Diceros bicornis minor: one gene and its partner. The protein of the gene in region 2 interacts with the protein of the main gene of each other region in a biochemical or structural test. Links are inferred from orthologs where the notes say so. Each region holds a gene or a part of one and is shown on either strand. Other genes may lie near its edges. The genes, in order: MAP2K6 and MAP3K5.

What was found.
Region 1: of the proteins of MAP3K5 (region 2) and MAP2K6, one has a biochemical effect on the other in vitro, tested with the Homo sapiens proteins (8 studies listed by BioGRID, with this or other methods). The link is inferred for Diceros bicornis minor from reciprocal best matches to the Homo sapiens genes MAP3K5 and MAP2K6.

The regions. Positions count from the first base shown.
Region 1 is NC_080757.1:50,792,865-50,801,009, reverse strand, and holds the start of MAP2K6 (dual specificity mitogen-activated protein kinase kinase 6), read right to left. Parts: upstream 3,111-8,145; 5' UTR 2,862-3,110; coding exon 2,846-2,861; intron 1-2,845. UniProt on the Homo sapiens protein: Dual specificity protein kinase which acts as an essential component of the MAP kinase signal transduction pathway.
Region 2 is NC_080762.1:1,825,165-1,833,397, reverse strand, and holds the start of MAP3K5 (mitogen-activated protein kinase kinase kinase 5), read right to left. Parts: upstream 3,123-8,233; 5' UTR 2,881-3,122; coding exon 2,469-2,880; intron 1-2,468. UniProt on the Homo sapiens protein: Serine/threonine kinase which acts as an essential component of the MAP kinase signal transduction pathway. Plays an important role in the cascades of cellular responses evoked by changes in the environment.

The DNA of each region.
Region 1 (8,145 bases), on a different chromosome or scaffold from region 2:
AGGGTCAAACTTTTTGTAGATTTTCAGGTGAACTGGGAGATGCCAGGCCTCCCTTCCTGCCTCCCTCCTTCCCTCCCTCCCTCAGATCATTATGGCTGATAACAATAGTTTTTCTCTCCGGGGCAATGTAGATGACACATTTTTCCTGTAGCCTGTCTTCCTGTAAAGTGCAGGAATTCCTGCACTTTCTGGGTGCCCTTCCTGTTAACTTACATTTCAGATTTCCTCAAAAGGCATTCTGCCACTTTAATATTTGAAAAATGTCAGCTCAACCCCAGACAGCTAATATAAACAAACTGAAAGGCATACCACCTAAAGTTACAACTGTGGAAAACAAAATTTCTTTTTAAGAAATTCTTTCTCGGAATCTCACTGTCGGTAAGGCTGGAAAGAAGTAACCCAGTCCTTCCAGCTCCCAGGGAGTCTGTAATTCTTTTGCCTCTGCTGTGCCTTAAATTAGAGGTCTCTAAAACCGAATTATAGTGATCTAGAAAGTTCGTAAAGGTCCTTGAATTGAACATGTTGTTAAAATCTTCAACACTATGAGGTTGCATCCACCTTTCACTTTTCCCCCCATTTCATTTGGTTATAGTATTACAAAGAAGTCTGGTACTGCAAAAAATGTCTTGGCCATTTGAGAATACCATAGCTGAATTAGGCCAATTCCACATTTAAAGTCCAGGCCAAGTCTCCTTTGCCATTTCTGAAATGATCACCCACTTCTTTCTACCAATAATTTTTCTTTTGGACAGAAACCCCATGTTCACACTAGTTGCACCTTCCAAACACAACCCAATTAAGAAAACTTTTTGGATGAATGGGAATTGATTTCAAGAACCATCAGTACCTGATCTATTATGGGCACACCCATAATGGAAGAGTGTCATGCTAACATCTCTTTTAGCTTCCCAACTCAAAAACTTGCTCTACTAGGAGGGGGCTACTTTAGGAGTGAGCTCAAAAAATGCAAAAAGGAACCTGATTTAGTTTAGACACTACGGTCCAAAGATAAGATCACTATAACATCACCTTCTTCATGAAACCTTCCTGACTATCTCTCAGAGAGATCACTTCCATCTCTAAACTCCAACAGTGCCATTTCTCTTCACTATCTAGGCAATTATCTTGTATTATAATGATTTGCAGATATGCTTTCTTTCACCAATCACATGGTAAGTTACTTAAAGGAAGCAACTACATTTTAAATATTTTTGTACGCCCCCAAATCCTGTGCACTATATCTCTCTACATGTATACGTACACATACATACACACATACACATATATATCATAATATATTTATACATATATTAAACCAAACTGAATGAATGAGTGAATATATACCAAATACAAAGTAACTAGATGTCATCTCTTTAATACATCAAAGCATGGTATGCCCCTTCTAAACTGTTATTTCTCTGCTCAATTAGAAGATTGTAGGTTTCCCCTCTATTAAGGAACACCTGCACCTCATAATGCCAATTCATAGGTTCTTCAGCTTTCTTAGCTTTTCAGATGTCCATTCCTCACTAAGACTAAAAGAAAAGCAGAGCCCTACTTTGAACTCTTAAGAATATATATCACTTCCTCTTGGGCTGAGATGCATGATTCCCATCAGGCAGAATTGCAACAACTCCAAAAAAAGTGGCAGAAAGCTTATGAGACACTTTCATTTCACCAGGTCTTACTCACCTATGTTGTGCCTCAGGTAGCCTAACTCACCTAGTGCCTAACTCACCTCTTCATTCCATACATTCTCAGATGGCACATGCTTTCTCTATGGTAAAGAAAGACTCGTTTTGAAACAAGAGACTTAGGGTCCTAGAGACACCTGACAACACCCCCTCAGTTCTCTTGATGCCATGTCATAAATTTTATTTTTTTAATTCCCCCCAGCATGACATTGTCTGCAAAATACAACTGTGTAAAAAAAATTTTTTTTAAGAAAAAGAAAAAAACATAAAGGAAACAACCATAACCCTGAACTTCTGACCTATTATAGCTGACTAAATATATGCAATTACACACTTAAAAGATTTCATTATGGTTGTCATTGTCAGTGAAACAGTACAGTCTCCCCACGTTGGTGTAATGCTTAAAAGTACAGTTTTTCCCCCAACATTTTTTTCCCCTAAGATGCAAAGCATCTCCCAAATGGGAAGACATAAAACATCTACGTCCTCATTGCTGCTTCTGAATACTGCGAACCAATAAGCAATTGGTGTAAAGTGCAAAATCTCGGAAGAGAAAGTCTTCTTGTCTACGTTTTTGTAATGTGGTATTATTCACACTTCACCTTTACTTCCTTTAAAAATCAAAAGTTGCTTAATGTTCAAAGCGATATCAATGGAAATTTAGCTAACTACTGGTACCACAACGGTTCATTCCCAAAGGAATATAAGATTACATTCATTTCCTACTAGTTTAACTCAAGTTTTACCTTTCATCTTCACCTACAGACTTTTTAAAAGTTTGTATTCCTGTTGCACATAAAATTACTTGTAATATGTGTGCATACTAAAGAATTTTACAATTATATAAAGCATTGCACTTTTAGACGCTACCAACCTGCTCTATCTCTCCTGACTGTGCAAAAGGCAAAAAGAGCTCAGTAATCCTAGCAGAAGAATGCAAATAACGTCAATGCACAGCTGAACTGCAAGCCCTGCCTTACAGGAACTCTCTGTGTCTGCAAAAAAAGACACATACTAAACAGGAAATGCAACTGAGCTGTGGAAAACCTCAAACTTAAAAATGCAATCGCCAGGCGAAAATTGCATCCATGCATTCATAAATGCATGCACAACCCTTTGCATTTTTGCAAGTAATGCAAATAGACTCTTACCTTTCGACTGAGACATTTTCCCCTTTCCTTTGATGGGGGAGGGGAGCACAAAAGACTTTGCCTTGCTTCTCTTCTGTAGCTAGTTTTGCAACAAAGATGCAAGCTGCAGGCGTGCAATCTTCATGCAAGTGGAGTTTCGCTTGACCGATGCAGCAGATGGACTTTCAGGGAATCAAGATGGAAATGCACACCTTGCAAAACAGACTGGAAAGTGATTTTTCCCCCAGTTGCAACGTTAGGGAAGGCTGTGCTGCAGCTACATGATGGGCCAGGGCTGGCAGCTAAAAGCTCCAAACTTGGAACTGAGTATCTTAGTGCGCAGACGTCCTTCCTGCGAAGGGCGCGGGGGGTGCTGGGTAATGTAGTTCCGGAGCAGAGTCCACGGGGCTCAGATTTAAGGAAACGTGGTCGCGCGGGTCGCTGAGCGAGATGACTGGGTGTGGCAAAGATTGCGCCCAGATAAAGAAGTCAGACTCGCACTCGGTAGTAAGTGATGGGCGAAAAACGGCAAGGCCAACAGGAAGGGGCATTTTTGTTATCGAAAAGCCCTTGAAGCAACTAAAGCTAAAGAACATTAGGTTAGCGAAAAGGCATTTGGCTCGCTCAGAAGGTCTGTTTGGGTGTTTCCTGTTTGCAGGGCAGCACCTGTTGTACTGTTCCTGCCTATAGACGTTTACCCTCACACCTCCATTTTCAAAAACATTTTTTTGGCATGGAGAATTTGTTGGTGATTTGGCTGGCCAGAGGTAAGATTACCTTTGCACTGCAGAGAAGATGCAAAGTTTGATTTAGTAAGATAGGATCCAGGTCGATTATTTTCAAGGAACCTGAAATTCAATACTGGGGGGAGGAGGAGTTCTTATTTCTTGAAATGTTAGAGAGGAAGTTCTGCTTTTTATATGTCAAAGCTAACTTTATCAAAGTTAAAATATTTAGATGCTTTTTCTCACCTAAGGTGAGGAAAATCCCTGGCCTAAGGGAGCAAGTGAGTGGTAATCTTAAATTAACAAAGTCAAATATCTGGAATTATTCAACAAAGTTAACAGACATCTGTTGAGCTCCTAGGATGTGCCAGGAATGTCTCTAGGGCTTTGGGTCATCCATTTGTCATGCATTGCTCATGGCTTAGGGATGGACAGCACCCTGGTCACCCCCTTCACGAGGAAGCTGGAGATGCACAGAATAATTCCATGCAAGAAATGGAAAGGAGTGAGGGGGCATGGGCTGAAATGAGCTCAGATTTCTACTTCACTGAGTAGACCAGACTCAAAATGTGCTTTTCAGGTAGAGAGGGAAGAACTGAGGATTTCAGGCTGCTGAGGCGTGAACCAAGCACAGTGGAAGACTGAGGAGAGCCTAGTCAGGGGACACTTAAGGATACCACGTTGCCTTGTATACAGAAGTGGTGAGGGTGGGTGGAATTTAGAGGTGAGGACTCTACAGGGCTTTAAAAGGCAGGCTAGAGGTTTGGACTTTATTCCACAGATCCTTGAGAGGTGGTGAAAGGGTTTTAAAAAGGGGTGTAACTTAATCAAAGCATTGTTTTAAGAAGGTAAATTTGCCCTCAGCCATTAAGGGGGTTGAAACTGGGAGAGGCTAGAGATAGGTCAGGTCAGTTGTGAAAAGCAGAAAAAGGCATTTTGAAAGATTTGGCTAGATTTGATGACTGCTTATGAAAACTCTTGGAATTTTATTAAGAATTCTAGGAAGCCAGGGCCTTCTGAGTAATGGATGAATCAGAGGGAAGAAGGCCACCATGTTTCAGCTACAAATCAGCTCTTAAAACAAATATGCAGCAGGTCATGGAACTAACATTAATTTACTTAAGTTGATCCCGTCTGCTGACATTATTGAGAATTTGTCAAGGTCACCTCATGTTCATATTAGTTTCTGCCCCTAAGAGGCAGGGGTTTCCGTCCCATGAGCATAGGTACAGAGACTTAGTAGCTCACTTTCTTTCACTGTCCTTCTAGGAGAATCCGTGCTGTCCCTTCCTCGTTCTCTCACACACAGGATCTCAGTACCTCATTGAACCAGCATTGTTTTTCTAAGTCTCATTTAACCAGGAGGCATGAGGGCGTGGAGCTCCATTTCAGTGCATCTCATCTACTTTTCCAGACCTTGGTGGAGCACCTGATACAGGCCAGGCCCTGGGATAGCTTCTGGAGCTGCACATAGACTCGCTGAGCCCAGGCAGGGCCTGCACAGCCACCTAGAGCTTACTTCGATTTGCATTTTATGTGGTCAGCAGCATTGCTCTTAAATTGCCCCAGACTCCCTTCTTTATGGAAGAGTTCTAATCACTTGTCTGGTGCATTTTGCTTCTGTCGTTTGTGCTTGTACATTCTCTGCATAGGCATGCACAGTTCCCAGCTGGCAAATGGATTATGTTCTGAAAGTCAATCTGTAATTCATATTCCCATAGGAACAATGATGTGTTCAACAGCCAGTGCACATACACACTCACACACACGTATGCAAAACACCTTTGACCCATAAATTGGCTGAACCGTATAGTTAAAAATATCAAAATTTATCATTTTTCTTTCTGGGAAAAATATATTTTGAATTTCCACAGGAAACTCAACCTCTCTGTGAAGTCTTAGAGTCCAGAAAAAAAAGTCCTTCTTGCCTTGGTGGTAAAAAGGTTTCCTCTGCCCACGGTCCTGGATGGAGGAAGAGGCTGTACCTCTGTACAATCATGGTCCTTTCCTCTTCTTGCCAATCTGTGGCAATGTTCTTAGGAGGAGAATTCCTCCCCTGGTGGTGTAAGGAAGTGAGAGCAAAATCTGGATGATTGTTCTTTTATTAGACGGTACATCAGATGTTTATCTTGAGGTGGCCTGTGCTCCTACTTCGAATCTGCCATCTTTGTAATTTTCTGTACTTTAGATCTTTCTAAAATGCAAGTTTCTTCTACTTACCTTCAAGATCGATTCCAAACTCCTTGGCATGGTATAATTGGCCCCTCAAGACCCGGCCCCTGCTTACTCTCCAGTTTCATTTCTCATCCTATGTTGATGCTACAGCCAGAAGCCGAGTTTTCTCCCTAGTTGCTTTTGGATACATTGCTCTCTCTGGCTGGCAAGCATTTTCCATTCTCTGCCTAGCTCATTCAGAATTGTCCTTGAAGACTTGGCTTAGCTGGCACTTTCTTCCAGCTACTTTCTGTGACATATCACCCTATGACCACCCTCAGTGTGAATGAAGTGTTTTCCCTAATTCTGTAGCACCCTACACATACTTCCCTCCTAACACTCATCATAAGGCTGACAGATGTTTATTTACATATTTGTCTCCCCCAGGAGACTGAACTACTGGAGATCAGAGATTCATCTCTGCATTCCCAGTGCCGACCATCTAGCGTTTAACAGGCACTCAAATGAATGCTGAAAAACTGAAGGAGTAGATAGGGAGAGGACTTGTGACCGTGGCTACCCTGGAATAACTAGATTCCAATGATGGAGTTAACACCTGCAGGGGAAACTAGAACACCTGGGGAAAGTCCTGTGCTGTCAGGTTAAAGGTATGAGATTCTTGGAAAGAGCCCCTAGGTTAGGTCAGGCTGGCTCTGAAGGAATTATTCTAGAAGTATATGTGGGATGGAGGAGATGGTGGTGGGAGTAGGGTGTCTCAACCAGGGGTAATTTTGACCCCCAGGGAACCTTTGGCAATGTCTAGAGACATTTTTGGTTGTCACAACCAGGAGGGTGGAGGTGGTGATACTGGCATCTAGTGGGTAGAGGTCAGGGATGCTTGTAATCTTACTACAGTGCACAGGAAGCCTCCCACAACAAAGAATTATCTGGTCCAAATGTGAGTAGTGCTGAGTTTGAGAAACCTTGCTGCATAGGATACCATGAGAATTTACTGACACTCTATTTTTTAAGTTAATTTAAAGCAAATGAGATTTGGTAAGACATTAACTTTTGATGTGGAAAAAACACTAGAATCTAGGGGATGTGAGCTCTAGTCCTGACTAGAAAACGTTAGCTGTGTTTCCTAAGGCAAGTCACTTCGCCTTTCTGGACCTCTTTTTGTTCCACTAAAATAAGATGGGTCAGACTAAGGCCCTTCCAGTTCTTTTTTTTTTTTTTTTTTTTTGTGAGGAAGATCAGCCCTGAGCTAACATCCATGCTAATCCTCCTCTTTTTGCTGAGGAAGACCGACTCTGAGCTAACATCTATTGCCAATCTTCCTCCTATTTTTTCCCCCAAAGCCCCAGTAGATAGTTGTATGTCATAGTTGCACATCCTTCTAGTTGCTGTATGTGGGACGCGGCCTCAGCATGGTGGGACAAGCGGTGCATTGGTGTGCGCCCGGGATCCGAACCCGGGCCGCCAGCAGCGGAGCGCGCGCACTTAACTGCTAAGCCACGGGGCCAGCCCCAGGCCCCTTCCAGTTCTAACATCCTGTGACTCTAAACCCACCTCAAATGTCTGATTAAAACCACCAGTGATTTGAAGAAAGAAAGACAGTTGTGATCACACATTCTATTTTTTGCATTGGCTAAGTAACTTTCTGTTCAGGTATCAGAAGTGTTCCTCATCCCCTGCATTAGCAAGATAACTGATGACCATCATAACAATATCACTTAAGAGATAAGACAAGACATATTCATATTACAGTGTAAAATATTGCCTCCTGGGTAGCAATACTCACCTGCATGTGACATTTATGAATGTTTTCCAGCAGTATCTACAAGATATCAGGAACAAGGGAAAGGAAGGCACCAAAGTTAAAGCTAAGAGTTAAGTCTGAATATCTACTTTTCTAGATTCTAGTGTAAATAGGTATGTTATATATAATGAAGCATATTGCGGAGAGCATGTGGGGAATTAGTTTAGGGGACCGGATGATGAGTTATGGTGGTACAATACTTTTAAGTACAAATTTTTTTTTTTTACTGCATTAAAATATCACAATGAATTATGACTGTTGGCAGAAATTTTAGAAATCCCAAAATAGATTCAGCTTAGCTTCTAGTGCCCTCCCCAATATGGCACAACTATACCTGTTCAGCCTTCTCTCTCAAGTTTCCTTTGTTTAAGCAATCTGGTAAAAACAGGATTGCAGATCTTCCTCAATTTACGATGGGGTTATGTCCTGATAAACACTTCATAAGTTGAAAATATTGGTAAGTCGAAAATGCACGTAATACACCTAACCTACTGAACATCATAGCTTAGCCCAGCCAATCTTAAACATGATCAGAGCACTTACATTAGCCTACAGTAGGGCAAAATCATCTGACACAAAGCCTGTTTTATAATAAGGTGTTGAATATCTCATGTAGTTTA
Region 2 (8,233 bases):
TGGTGTAGTAGTTAAGTTCTGCACTCCACTTCGGCGGCCCAGGGTTCGCTGGTTCGGATCTTGGGCGCGGATCTACTCACCGCTCATCAAGTCATGCTGTGGTGGCATCCCACATACCAAATAGAGGAAGACTGGCACAGATGTTAGCTCAGCGACAATCTTCCTCAAGCAAAAAGAGGAAGATTGGCAACAGATGTTACCTCAGAGCCAATCTTCCTCACAAAAATAAATAAATAAATAAAAATTAAAAAAAATAAAGTTTTATTGGAATACAGCCACAATCATCTGTTTAGGTACAGTTAATGGCTGCTCCCCAGTAACAATGGCCGAACTGAGTAGTTGTGGAGAGACCTCACGAAGAGTCTAAAATATTTACCATCTGGCCCTTCACAGGAAAATTTGCACAACCCCGGTGGAGTAGGAGCAAGCACTGTTTTAGGAAGACAAGTTCTACTACCTTCAAGCTGGGAGGACGTCAGTTTAGAAAAATAAGGGGTTCGGACAAAACATATCATCTTCATTCATCACATCTTCACGCAGAAGGAGAGGGCTCCAAGCTCATGTCACTCACGCAGGCAGGGTTCAACTGGAGCCTGAGCGGCTGAGCAAAGCAATGGGATGGGACAGAGCTGGCCCAGAAACACAGGCCTTCCCGGAGCGTGTCCTCCCCTCGATTCCACACTGCACCTACATGGCTCACAAGGTCCCTGCCAGCTCTGCGTCACATGATCCAAGATAGAGACTTTCCCTTGATTCTGAGAGTAAATCAGCCCAGCTGAAGGGAGGCAGCAAGGGCAGAGCATGACCTTTTAGGGTCAGCTCCTGAAGCGGAATCCTGTATTGACTAGTTATGACCTCTGAGTCCCAGGGCCGGTTGTGGATCCCTTGGTTTTCTCACCTTAGAAGGAGAGTAAGTATTTCCATTACAGGCTCATTTGGAGAATTAAATGAGATACAGTTCAAATGTCTGGTCCCTTCTAATCTTTTTCTCTCCCTTTCCCAGAGATAGTACTTGGAGAATAAACCCTAAGTGAGCCTTGTTAGGAAACTTTCTTTCAAAGTAGCTCAGCGTTTAAGATTTTTCTATAGAACCCTATAAAAAATACCCAATCTATCAGTGCAATAAAAATAGGCCCAGTACTCAGCTGGGTGTTTTCCTCACGTATCTTTCAGTTCTTTGAAGCTTCTTCCAAGTTATAATCCAAAAATAAAGAGTGCTGTAATTTTTAGAAAAGTTATGCTTATGCAATTTTTATAGCAAGCTACGCAAAGAACCAAGCCATAATATATTCTACTCCTGTTCAGTTATGAAGACCAAGTCTGTAAAAAAACAGCAGAACCAGAAAGTCCTAGTTTATTTAGTCTGGCTTCCTTAGCATGAAGAAGTTCTTGTTCTTAAAATATTCAGCTTTGGCTGAATTCCAAAACTGACATAAGCCTACTTCAGGTATTCTGGAGAGACTGAGGAGAATCAGAACTGAAACCGGACTGGAATATAAAACCTTTTACGTGATCACAAGTGCAAGAACCTTATTGTTTGAAGCCACCATTAAATCAAATTTTCCCCCCCACACTTAATAAATATGCACATATTCTCAATATTGGTTGCACAGAGTGCTAAGGGTTAGTTTCAATAACACATCATTATTCCTTACATTTGCTAACAGAGAGCTAACTGCTTCAGTCACTAGAATTGCAGTAACACCCTGAAATCTGTCATAGGATGAAAAGATACACTTTTTTCATACATTATGCTAGCAATCACTTTAATGGCCAATAGCACATTCGCGTTTTCAACAATGTTAAATTAAACACTTTTCAGCCCAACAAGGGATATGGGGTAATAAAAAACAGACCTGGTTCTTTCACCGAAGTCTTAATAGAGTTACCACACAGCCTTAGTGTAAGTGACTTTTGGAAGTGACGACTTGAAACTTCGAATTGGTAAGAGATGGGAAGTTCAAGCCACTGAGCTCAAGGTAAAGTGAGCTGGGAAGATCATGACAGGACCTGCAGATTCACAGACACACTCCGCGTGCAGCCGGCTCCGCGGCATCAGTCACGGTGTCTGTTCTTCCAAAACTACCCCGAGAGAACGAGAACGTGACCTAAAGCGGTCACAGGCGCGTCCAGAAGGAAACACGGGCCACCCTGAAGGAAGGGAAGGCACCACACTGGACGGAGGACAGACCGGGGCATGTGCGCGCGCCGAGGACAAGAGTTCTGTGGGGGAGCCCCGCGCGGCGGTCGCGGGTCCCGCAGGGCACCCGAGGCCCGTGCACCGGCACCCCCTCCCTCTCCCCCGGGGCCCGTGCACCGGCACCCCCCTCCCCAGGAGCGGGGCCGGGAGCAGCGGGCAGCGCCGGGAGCGGGGCAAGAGTGAGAAGGAGGAAGCACGCCGGCTGCCCGGAGAAGCGTCTCCCCCGCGGCGGCCGGGGGCTCGGCCCCGACCCGGGGCGCACACGCACCTGCGTTGTAGAAGCGGTCCAGCACCGCCGTCTCCCCGAAGTCCAGCTTCCCGAAGTGCAGGGTCTCCAGGGCGGCGCCCGCCGCCTCGCACGCCTCCCGCAGGCTCTGCAGGGCCTCGCTCTCCGCCGCCGCCAGCGGCCCCAGGCTCGCCTCGTTGATCACATAGGCCACCGTGGTCCGCCGGCCGCCGCCCGCGCTGCCCCGGCTCCGGGGGGCGCCGCTCGCGCACGCGGGGCCCGGCGCGGCGCCCTCCACGTTCCAGAAGCTGCCCGGCGGCGGCGGCGGCGCGAGCGGGCTGTCCTGGCCCTCGGCCGCCGCCCCCCGCCGGCCGCCCTCGGCCAGCGCGCAGAGGCCCGGGGGCGCGAGGGGCGGCACGGAGAAGGTGAGGCCCTCGGCCGCCTCGCCGCTCATGGCCCCCGCGCCGCCGCGCCGCCGGGCCGGCCACAGCTCGGGGCTGCTCCGCGCGCGCCGGGCTACGCGGCTGCCATCGCGCGTCCCGCCCTCCGCGCCGCGCCGCCGCCGCCTCTCGGGCGCCCTCTCCGCCGCGGGGACGCCGCCGCCCGGCGGCCGCTCGCCCCTCCTCGGCGCCTCCGTGGCCGCCGCCGCCGCGGGTGAGGGTGCGGTGGGAGCGCGGGCGGCCCTGCCCGTGCGCCCTCGGGGGAGCTACCTGCCGCCCGACGGCCCGCCCCGCCGCCCCGCGCCACTTCCTCCTCCTCCTCCTCCTCCTCCTCCGGCCGCGCTCTCCCGCCGCCCGGCCGCCTCGCCCGCTCGGCTCCCGCGGCCGCTCGCGCCGGCCCCGCTTCCGACCGCCCCCTCGTCGGGCTCCGCGCGCCGGCCCGCCCGTGGGGGGCGCTGCGGGGAGCGCGGGCCGGCCCGACGCGCGCCGCTGCCACCTCAGCGGTGGAGCGCGAACGCCCGGGCGCACGCACGACGGAGCGCGCCAAAGTCTGCCCGCGACGCGCGGTGGTGCGCTCGGCTCCGCGGGGCGCGGGAGGACGCGCCGGGGGGATGCCCGCCGGGCCCGGGCCGGGGCCGGAGCGGGAGGGTGGCTGAGGGGGGACAGGGGCGCCCGGCAGGGCAGGCGAAGCGGATCAGGTCTGCCCCTGGTACTTTCCATTTTGAAGTCTCCAACAGCGGTGCTGTCACCAAGGAGGAATCGGTTAGCTCCAGCTGCCGACCGAGTTAGCATGCTCCTTTAGGTTCTAAAAACTCCCCTCCACCGCCACATGCTTTCCCGAGATGGAAGACTGGGACTTGGCAAATCATTATCTGCCAGAGGAAGGAGGGAGATTAAGTGAATTATTCTATCTTTTAAATTGCACCACAAGAAAAATAAAATGCCTGGATGGCTTAAGAGAGATCAAAAAGTATCTACTTATATGCGGGGCAAAAACAGATGTGTAAGTTCTCAGAGAACTTCCCCAGAATGCTATAACTTTCGGAAAACCAGTGAAAGATGCAATATAATAAAGTACCAGGTCTGGACTTCCCATCCTCAGGAAGCAAGATTAATGAGTTCTGTGAAAACGGTAGAAGAAGAATGCAAATTACATTCAAGCTTGGGGGAAACGGAGGATAAAACAGTTGAGTAGTGAAGAGTTAAAAGAAGGAAGGAAATGGTAATGTGGAAAACCCCTCGCAGCTGCACAACTGTATCCTCCACAAAGCAAAGTGACAGCTTTTTCTCAAGGCTTGTAAAAGGATAGAGGTAAATTTACAGTAAGTAACTTGCTCCTCTACGTGTCAGCTGGAATCTCCGTGATCCACAGCTGCCTTTGGACTGGGTGTCATTAGGAAAGTAGATGTGTAGTGGATCAGTGATCACACTGAACAATGTTGATGGGCTACTATAGATACACACCTTCTAATATTCCCGACAACTTGTCAGATCTCCAACTCCTGTGGGAGTAGATAACCCTCCACCCCATACTAACCCAAAACAATAAACACTGGAAATTCATTAGGACTATGTCTAGAAGACTTAAATGCCTAAATTCTCAAATAGCATTTTACTACACAAATAAGATCTAAGATTATACATAAAGCTATTTTCTAAAAAACCGTAACTCTGTAGACCATTTCACCTTTGCTTCCCTTCCAGGTCTTTTCAGAGCCACTTTCCATACACAATCTTTATGTTCATTTTACTTTATTTGCTTTGTTTTACTTTGAATTGATTTAATAACTTTAAAGATTTTATCGATTACTGGCACCCAAACCCCAATGCAATGCTGAAAGACTGCTTCTCTTGCTCCTAAGGCGCTCCCACATTAAAAAGGCATGGCAGCAGAACTGAAGTCTACTGGTCAGGACTATATTCTCACTCAGAGTCCCTCCCACGTCCACTTAGAGATGGACCTTGGGACACCTTGAGAACACCTGCAGGTAGGACAAAGAATTTTCGTAACAAAAGAGCTGGAGAAATAAAAGGGAGAGACTTCTGCTTCTGATTATGACAGATTAGGTAATTCTCATCAACCCTCTCACTGAAGAAGACTAAGAATGCTGGACAAAATTTAAAATAAAGGCATCAAAGAACTAATGAGATAAGGACGATCTACCCGGCCAGTTTCCGGAAGAGAGGCCAGGGATCCAGACGGTGTGCCTTGGTTGGGGCTGCTCCTGGCCTGGCAATTTTTGTGGCTCTCATTAGACATCTGAGAGGCTGGACTGCATTTCTGACAACACCTGGAAAGGACAAAAGTAAGGATGAGCTAGCCTAGAAGTAGGAGTGAGCTAGCAGTAAAATGACCCTTACATGGACAGCAACCCTGCCTGCAGACGTCAGGAAAAAGTCTCAAAGCCTGAAATTGGATTAAGGTAATTCCAGGCATTCGAGAATCAAAATTCACTCCAGAGGAAGCTAACATCATCCTGGGCCGTCAGTTCTTTCTACAAATACAAGATCTGTGGATGTCGGCAAACCTTTGAATGCATGGTAGAATGGTGGAAGAGGAACAAGAATATGACTCCAAATCCTCCGTTGCCATCTGTGCCCGAATTTCCCCTCCAGACCCACTCTCCATTCCCAACCCCAGTCTCAGCCTCAGGAGCCTAATCTCTATGAATTAAATCAATGGCTCCCTGGCTTTCTGTTTACCAACTAGGTTTGGTCAGTGGGGAGTCCAGGCAGAGGATCTGAAGCAGGAAGGAGACTGTGACTCTGAGTCACCTCAGGCTGCTTGTTCCTCAACAGAAAGTCATTGGTCTTCTAAGGTGGCAGATCCCGCAGGACTCACTTTCTTACAAGATCTCATAACTGTCCCTCACCTTGTTGTTTGGCACCTAGAAATGATGACAGCTCTGAAGCCGCTAGCCCCAAGTTCCTGCAGAAGCCCTTGAGGCTTCCCTGTACGCCCTCCACACCTTTGCAATTAGTCTTTTTGTAAATAAACCCACCTCAAAGGATCCTGTTTCCTGTTGGGATTCTGATAACTACCAGTGAGCTTTTAGAAATCAGAAAACTAATTTAGCCTCTTTGGGCCTGTTTCTGCATCCATAAAATAAAGTGTTCAATTAGATTAATTTGAAAATCCTTTGAAGTTCTAATGTGTATTGATGGGTATTGATATATACATTCAATGTGTATATACTGAATTGAAATGTGTGAAGAATGAAAATACCACTGGGTAACCAAATAGTAGATGAAGGAACTTTCTCTTTATAGAAATATTTCAGCTAATACATATAAAAAGTCTGAGGTAGTTAGAATTTCACCATTTTGCAACTTTTAATGAGTTTGGATCCAGGTATGGATCATCAACAGTCACTAACATCATTAAGAAAGAGATAAGCAGGTGTCCTGTGCTTCCTGATGGGAAAACATACCACAATTATGAGGCAGTCACACCAAAGACAGGGGGCAGGAATCTCATCAAGGCCCTAGAATCCAAGTCTGAGATTCAGCAACTAATTCCAGGAAATATGGAGGACCCAAAAACAGGTTAAAACACTCTGGAGATGCAATGAGTGGAATCTCTAGACTGTGGGAAACTACAAGTGGCTCATTTTCTTGCACAAATAAGTTACGACCACTGTAACTGATGCTATGTTCATTTTCTAGTAATAACATGGTCAAATGTGTCTTAGGGCCATTTCTAGTTAAAAAAATAATAGTAAGTGCCCATTGCCATGCTAACTGCTTTATGTGCACATCTCAAGTCTTCCATCTTTCTAAATGAAGAGCCCAGAGGAAAAGGTTACCCGACGTGAGACAAGGAGTTAGTAACAAGACCAGGGTTCCAATCCAGAGCCTGTGCTATATCCGCTGCTCCTTATCAGCATGAAGGGATAAGATCATCGAGTCAGAGAATATTGTTTTGGTTCTGGTGTGAGGACATGCCACCAGTTCATCTAACAGCTGCATAAAGTTTAAAAGAAGGGTGATGAGAAGTTGAGACAGACTCTATTTGCCAAATTTGGAATTAAAATATCATGTCAAAAGACCATTCTTACTTCTTATTCTGGAAGCTGTATATGGTAGCTATGTTTCCAAACTCTTCCAGTGGAGCCAGGGAGAGTGAAGTCTTGGGGAATAACCTGAGGCCCAAGTCAACAAGGTGAATGTTGTTGGTGTTTGTTTCATGTCTCTGTTTTATCTTGAAGTTTGCCATTTGTTTCATAATTTATGCTAATTTGTTTTAATACAAAATCATGTTTTGGATTTCTTAATCCTCTGAGAAAAATCTGTGCTCCTGGAAGATGAACCTGGTTCCTTTGTATATCTAGTAGCTTCAAATTCCCTGTCCACCCACCTCAGCAAACTCCTGTAGGGTGGTTCTTAGCCATGGACGCAGATCAGATTCACAAGAAGAGTTTCACACAAATAGAGACTCCCTTCCCCAACCCCAGAGATGGAATTTAAATAAGTTTAAGAACAAGATTCCTTCAATATGCCTATAGGATTTGATAAAGCAGTTTTATCATCTAGAGATCTTATTCTTGGGATTCTTTCCATCTTTAAGTGATTCAATAAATGCTCAAAAATGGACAGAGTCCTGGAGTTCAGCTACACGAGTACTGGGATCTTCAACACTTAAAGAGATTGTCATAAATTCTAAAGTTGAGTAAAATGATCCCCCTCATGTGAGTATAGAAATCTGTCCTAATATTCCTCTTGCAGAAGCCATGTAAGTGGAGAATGACATCCCCAAATTTTTTAGCACAAAAGCTCACTTTGAATTCTATTATAAACCATTTTAAAATAATGCATTACTTATAACAGACTTAAAATATCAGAAATAAGTGATTTCATTGAATTAAGTATACTGTTATACTGAATGACTTCTGTAAAAGTTAGGATGGAATCCAATCTGTTAAAACATTTAGACAAAAAATATTTTTACTTGGGTTTTTCACTGCAAACTTACCACATACATTTTTATTTTGAATCACCTTAATCTAGCAAATATTTAAGCCTAAGTATAAATGACAAGGGGGTCCAGGAAATGGTGGAAGTTAAGTAAAAAGTAAGAAAAGAAAACATATGACTATTTAAATTTAGATTAATTAAAATTACATCAATTTGATGTAATTTGAATACTCAGTCACAGTAGCCACATTTCAAGTACTCAATAGCCATATGTGGCTAGTGGCTACTTTATTGGACAATGCAGGTACAGAACATTTCCATCATTGCAGAAAATCCTACTAGACATAGAAAGAAAGCTGTTTGGGCCTGCCCCGTGGCTTAGTGGTTAAGTGTGCGCACTCCGCTACTGGCAGCCCGGGTTTGGATCCCAGGTACGCACCGACGCACGGCTTC